2 linked regions of the Macaca fascicularis genome follow. The protein of the gene in region 2 purifies or fractionates together with the protein of the main gene of each other region. This does not show direct contact. Links are inferred from orthologs where the notes say so. Each region holds a gene or a part of one and is shown on either strand. Other genes may lie near its edges.

Region 1 (3,651 bases), on a different chromosome or scaffold from region 2:
ACATAAACCAAAGAAACCCCAGAACACCGGTGAGGACCCGGAGGAAGGCGCAGGCCCGCCGTGGAACATGAGTGCTGACCCCAGGCTGGGTGAAGCTGCTCGAGCAGAGGGAGAAGCAGCACCTCCCCCAGTTTCCACAAGGGCTTGCCCCCCCATGCTCTCATTGGCCCCATGAGACATGGAAATGCAGGGCCAGAGGGTGAGGAAGCAGTGGTGGCTGCAGAGGGCAGCCAGGACCCAGGGAGGGGCAACCCCAGGTCGCTTGGGAACCAGCACCGCTGTGGAGCCCACTAGGCCTGCATGCAGCAGGGGTCTCTCTGGGAGAGGGAACAGGTAATCGAAAGGAGCCAGAGCCTCCAGGATGGGGCAGCGATGACCTCACTGTCCCCGGCCCAGGAAACGGAGCTCGCCGTGAAGTGGGACACGCTACACCCACCTAAAGTCCCACAGCCACACACACCTTCCGGACCAGAATACCCGGCAGAACAGGAAGAAACAGGGTTCAAGACAGGAGCCCTGGGTCCGAGTGGGCAGCACAGTGACCAGCTCCATGCCTTGGGCAAGAGCTCTTAGCAGCGGCTCCTCAATGGGGCCAGCGGAGGGCTGAGGTGGGAAGGGGAAGACGACGGCACCCTACGGGCAGACCACGCTTCACCTACAGGAACTGTCCTCACATCAACAGGCAGCCGTGGCTGCGGGAGCACAGGCCCTCACCTGTGTGGCCTTGTAGTTTCTGTACAATCTCTTTCGTCTGAAGGTTCCAGATGTAAACAAGGTTATCCTCTGAGCCAGACACAATCCACTAAGTAACAACAAGCACGGAAAACAGGGCAAGGAAGAGCAGGTCAGCGCTCGTGTATGTGGAAGGGGCAGAATCTCCAGTTATGCCCCGCCCCACGCCCACCCCGCTGGTGGCTGCCTGGCTGAACTCAACCAAAAAGCCGTGCCTGCCCTCCAGCCAGGCCTGAGGCTTCCTCCCCCAGTGCGGACAGCCCCGCCTGCTCTACCCCAGCACGGGCCTCGGTCAAAGAAGCCAGGCACCTGCCTGCCCCAGGAGAGGCTTCCAGGCTGGAAGATGCTTCTCAGGTCCCCCTTTCCTGAGTCTGTGTGTCATACACATGCTGCCCGAGAGTCACCCCGGTCTAAGCAGCATCGAGACCAGTGTGGGTGGGCGGGAAAACACTCCCCTCCCTGCTGGGGCGGGTGGACAGCCTCGGAGCCAGCGCACCCACCCGGGGACACCCTGAGCCGCGGAGCTCCACCTGTGGGGTCCCAACCCCCTCGGAAGGCATCGGCCAAGCACTGCCAGCAGAGCCCGGCAACAGGCTGCCTGCCTCCATTAAGGAGCTGGACCTAGAAACAGACGGGACAAGGTGTCCCCGGTGCTTGGCGCAGCGCACTTTGGTTGAAATGGAAATTCATTGTGTGGGCACAGAAAAGCGTCTGAGTGTAAAGCAACCTGTAACAGGTGTGACCTCTCGGGAGAGTAAGCTGGGAACGCGTGAGACGCTTCAAGGTCATAAGACTCACCTTCCCGCCAGTAACAGAGAAATTAGCAAATATGCAGTATTTCTCGTTCTTGTGGCCAGTGTACGTCTTCAGGCACTGAAACAGGAGGGGACAGGCTGGTCACAGAGTCATGGATCCCCTTGATTTTGTATAATTCTACGTTCTAAGCAAGGCGTTTCACCACTGACTACACTTACTTCTGAAAAGTACAAGTACAAAACCCACACAATCGAAGATTTAACTTGCAGACTGCCACCCTACGAATACCCAGGTTTTTCAGGAATCTGCACCAAACCCGTGGAAATGATTCTCTGAGCTCCTCTCCTTTGTCATCAGCGGGGCCACTCTGTCCCCACCAGAGGCCATGACCCAGGGACGGCGCACAACGGGGGCCCGAGCCTGCGGGAGCTCACCTTGCCCTTGCTGTAGTCCCAGAGCTTCAGAGTGCTGCAAGACAGAGAGAGGCGTGAGGCGGCACGGCCGGAGGCGTCCTGTCCCCACGCCCAACTCTGCAGCCACTACGTCACGGCCACCATCAGCGCCAGGTGCAAAAGCCAGCGGGGATGCAACCCCCTTCCCCGTCAGGGTGAGGGCCCCTCAGGCTCAGAGTCCAGTGACTTGGCGTTGGGGAGCCACAGTGTGAGAGCCGCAAGTATTTGCAGTTCCAAGAGAGACTTTAACAGGAAGCTGACGGGTGTTATCGTCCCTGACTCAGGTCATCCTCAAAAGGGTGAGGAAGTCCTCTTGGTTCTGGAAACATCCAGAACAGGTTTTACCACCCAATCACACAGCCCTCAGAGGATCGGGGCCCAGACTTGGACCCACAGGGCTGAGGCCGCATGCGTGGGAAAGCTGGAGCTTAGAGAACAGTCCGGGAGGGCAGCGGCTTTGTGAGAGGTAAAACCAAGGTCCTCAGAGGTCAGAACCAGAAAGGGCCTTGGAGGACCCCGGACCACCTACTCCTTCATGCGGGATGGCTAGGCCTGCCCCGGCCAGAGTCACTCAACCAGAAAACCGACCCTAAATCCTCCTTTAGTCGGACCTGAGGTTCAGCCTCGGGAAGGGATGGGCAGGGGCCTGCCCTCTGACCTAACAGGCCACTGCCCAGAAGCCAAAGCTCCAGCAGGAGCCTGGGTCCCGTGCCAAGCCCACGACATGCTCTCCGAAGGCTCACGCTGGCGAGCAGGTGTCTCTGGCTGGGGAGGCCACACGCCCGCCCCCACGGTCCCGCGCAGCACTCACTTGTCCAGCGTGGCGGCCAGGATGTATTTGCCGTTCGGGGAGAACTTCACGAAAGACACTGGGGGGTTGTCGTCATCTGCAATAAAAACAGACGGGTGACACGGGGCGGGCGCTGACAGCTGGGCAGGGACAGGAGGTGGGACCCGCTCCCCGTCCCCCACGTGCGACATCTGAGTGAGGTCGGCCACCACCACCAGTGCCAGCACCACCACCCCTTGGTGCCCCGAAGGGTGGCCTAGCCACGCACACTAGCCGTGAGCAGCTTCTTGACACCTCAAGCCCATGGCCCCGGGGGCCCCTTGACACCAGGACTTTAGGAATACAGGCCTCCTCGGGCACCGGGCAGTGGCCATTCTCAGGAATCACCTGCCTCACAGGGGAGGGATGAGGTTGGCGAATGCCCAACTCAACGGAGGGACGACTCCACCAGCAGCAAAAAGAGCTGGGGAAGTCACCTTGGAAATTCTCCTTTTAAGAATTTATCGACGCAAGGGGCATTCGCGCCCACACAACCCATCTACTTGTTGTCACACCCACAGCTAAGGCCCAGGCCTATCAGCTGGACCCTGCAGCCCTGGGGGCAGAGTACAGCCACTTTTTCTCACACAGCTGAAAGAGTCAAGGCTCCCAGAAGCTGTCCATGTACAGGTCAGAGTTTTCAGGACGTGACAACCCCACAACCCTCACAACCGGAGGAAGGCGTTTCCCCTCGCCCGAGTGAGGAGGGGGGAATCTCAAGGAAGGTGTATCCTGGTGCAGTTCCCACCCCAGGCCCCATCAGGGACCCCCCCCCCGCCACCAACGAGCATGTGCACGCGCTGGTGTGTCCCGAGCACCGGGAAGGACGCGGCCCTTGGCATTACCACCACGGGGACGCCTGGCCTCGCCAGGCACCTGGCG
Region 2 (3,454 bases):
AGCAAACTTTGCCACAGTAATGCTGCATAACAAACTGAATCTCAGCAGCTTATAACCAGCACGGTTCACATGTTCACGGGGCAGCTAGGAAGGCTTCAGCTGGTGGCTTGGCTGCAGGCTGCTCAAATGTGGGTCCAGGCTATGGGTTGATGTCAGGCCTGCTGCATGTAGAGTTACTTAAAAGTAAATGGAATAATATAAGTAAAGCGCCTGGCATTGTGCCCACCCACCATCAAGTGGGCACTTGTGTTAACCATTAATTCCTGACTGCCACACTGCATGGTGATCTTCATGCATAATGGAAGTGTATTTAGGCTTGATAACGTTTCTGTGAAAAGCAATGTTCTGAGAGACTAAGTTCAAAACTTTGGTGCATGTAACTTCTGACCTTGCCTCCTCTTTTTAACATTTTAGCCAGCTTACCAAAACCTGAGGCAGAAAGTGGATAATTTTGTGTCAACACATCTGGACAAGCAGGAATGGAATCCTACAATGAACAAAAACCAATTGCGAAATGGTCTGAGGCAGAGTGTGGTTCAGTAAGTAAGCAGAATTTAAAGCTTTTGAAAAGGCAGTAATCGCAAGTGTGATGCACAAGAAGGTTGAGGTCTCTGTTTAGTCAAGGTTGATGGGACTTTATATCAAGTATCACTTAGGAGTTGCAGCAGTCTGCTCCTTTATTACAGTTAAGGTTAAAGTAAGCAAAGTACTCAATTGAAATTCCAGTTTCTGCAGCCTGTGAAGGCCTCTTGTGTGCATCTCTGCTGGGTGCATCGAAAGACATTCCAAATTATGAGACATGTTCCCTGCTCTTCGAAGTTTCAGTGTCGTCCAAACATATATGTGAGTTTTATACCAAGATCTCAGGGTTTGGATCTTGGGCAAGAGGAGCTGGATCTTTATTCTCACAGGTGAATGTAAGTTAAATTCTTTGAGTCCACCAGGGCTGCCACCTCTAAAGTGTAATGGTGGCCGCTTTCAGGAAGGCATAGTCTTAACAAAGTATTGTACTTCACAGTAACAAACTGAACCTTAGTTAATGAAGGTGCTATTGATAGCTTATCTGAGTGACTTCACTGTCACTGGGCACAAAAGTGGAGGAGGGTCATGGAATCTGGTCATAACATTCATGAGCTAACAGTTACGGAAATGGGAGAACACATTAGTGATTGCCTGGGGGTAGGGATGGGAGGAGGGGCGAGTGTGACTTGAAAGTGGTAGCACGAGGGGAACTTGCGATAGTGCAGTTAAGTATCTGAGTTGTGCTGTGCTTATGTGCAGCAACTCGTAAAGTTGCATGGAGCTACACACACAAGTCAGTGCAAGTGTAACTGAAGTCTAAATAAGGTCTGGATTGGACCAGTGTCATTTTCCTGGTTTTGATATTGCACTGTAGTTATGCAAGGTGCTAACATTAGAGCTGGCTGGGTGAAGGGTGCATGTGGAACTCCCTGGACACTTCACAACTTCTGTGAATCTGCAGTGATTTTTAGATTTTTAACGTTTTTAAAAGTGTTTTACTAACAGGCTAGTACTTCCAATATGGCTGAATGCTGGGAAGAAGCCTGATAGCAGAAGATGCCCGGTGCCTTGTCATTCTGGGGTCAGTACCGAGTGCCTTTCCCTTTCTGCAGAGAGCAGACTGGTGGCACCAGGCTCTTTCAGAGAGAAGGGGACAGTAGCTGCCCCTTACTGAGCAACTCTTTATTACATGTCTGGCACTGGTCTTTACATATATCACTCATCCTCACAAAAAACCTATTTCACAGCTGAAGTCACTTGTGTTTACCCTATCTTGAGTAAATCAAAACATTGAACATTTTGAAATACTTGGAAAGTTGCCGTAATTGTATGAAGGCTGTTAACATTGCTGTTGATTTCCATAATGAGCATGGATGTCATTCTAGAAGAATCCATGTGGCACTTCTTTTTGCATTTCTTTAGTAGGAATTGTAATACCAAAAAGTGCACAGAAATACAGTAAAACAGATAATGAGAACATCCCTTAATCACCCAGGTCAAGAAATGAACTCACACCCTCCCAGAATAGCCTAGGCCCAGACATACCTTCCTCCTTTCAGAAGTTTGCTGTATTCCTGACTTTACGCCAATCATTTCTTCTCTTCATAGCTTTTACCACCTCGGTGAAATTTTTTTTTTCCTGCTTTTTGATTTGACTTAGAATGTGTTTAACCTGAAAACATGAACTTGGCTTTAATACTGGGACATTTCTCCACAATTCTCGCTAGCATTTTGAATTTGAGGCAAAATCTACTGGAGTTTTGAAATGCAGACTTTCTGCTTGCCCCCGGGTGCTCTCCGCAGATGGACATTGCAGGCCTTCAGAGCATTGGCTCACTGGCCTAGCTGTTCTGGCCCAGATGCTGTAACCCAGTGCCACAGCCTAGAGGGTTTAACAGGAAATTAGCCTGTACTGACTTATGAACTGAATTATGACAAATAACTCTTTTAACTATACAATATTTGTTCATTCCATCTTCTACGTTAGGCTCCTGACAAGATTTTATGTTTTCCTCAAAAGCTTTAAGAATCTCCAGGAAAGTGAGCTGCACTCCCTTGGTACTTGGTTTCCCCTGATCAGGGGTTTTGGTCAGTTGGGGACGCTTTAACAAAGCGCCGTAGACTAGGTGGCTTGTAAACCATGGAAATGTACTTCTCACCATTCTGGAGGCTACAAGTCCAAGACCAAGATGGCAGCATGGTCAGGTTCAGGGGAAGGCCTTCTTCCAGGCAGCAGACTGCCTACTACTTCTTGTTCTTGTGTGGTGTGAAGAGAGCTAGCTAACTTCCTGGGGTCCCTTTTGTAAGGGCATAGATTGCATTCATGGAGGCTCTGTCCTCATGACCCAATCCCCTCCCAAAGGCCCTACCTCCAAATGCCATCACATTAAGGATTAGATTTCAACATAGGAAGTTTGGGGGACACAGGCATTTAGTTCATAATATCAAGCTTTTACATCTAGTAAAGACCCCTGTGAATCCGACTCAGGAAGTGGTTTGGTAAAGTTGGAAAGGTATTGGCTTGTGACTGAGGAGAGGTGGCTTTGCTTTATAACTGACCCATAGCCTGATGCTAAGTGTGCTGTATTTAACAATGCTCATCACTAAGGGCAGATACTGTCGAATGCCTGGTCTACCTGAAAATGTGCCCTTCAGTGCTCTGGTGGTGGTGTATTTACATCTAGGCTTCCTGTCGATAAGCTGTTAGTTACCATTGAATCCGGGAAGCACTTTACACACTAATCATCTTTCCCAGTTCAGGGCCTGCTTCTCGTCTTTGTCATGATGTACATTTACTCATGTCTTTCGTTTGCTGTGCCCTGACAGACTATTTACCCAGTTGCTGCCTGGCCTATTTTTGCCCAAGGGCTTAAATGGCCTCCAAAGTTTCAAGTCTACGGGAAAATAAGTAAAACCTGCCCACATGCTTGTG

What was found.
Region 1: the proteins of BOD1 (region 2) and WDR5 purify together in Homo sapiens (affinity purification with mass spectrometry; 3 studies listed by BioGRID and IntAct, counting the BioPlex papers as one, with this or other methods). This does not show direct contact. The link is inferred for Macaca fascicularis from reciprocal best matches to the Homo sapiens genes BOD1 and WDR5.

Annotation. Positions count from the first base shown.
Region 1 is NC_088389.1:5,216,615-5,220,265, forward strand, and holds part of WDR5 (WD repeat-containing protein 5), read right to left. Parts: coding exon 3,615-3,651; intron 2,828-3,614; coding exon 2,752-2,827; intron 1,957-2,751; coding exon 1,923-1,956; intron 1,606-1,922; coding exon 1,531-1,605; intron 803-1,530; coding exon 715-802; intron 1-714.
Region 2 is NC_088380.1:180,431,315-180,434,768, reverse strand, and holds part of BOD1 (biorientation of chromosomes in cell division protein 1), read left to right. Parts: intron 1-414; coding exon 415-539; intron 540-3,454. UniProt on the Homo sapiens protein: Required for proper chromosome biorientation through the detection or correction of syntelic attachments in mitotic spindles.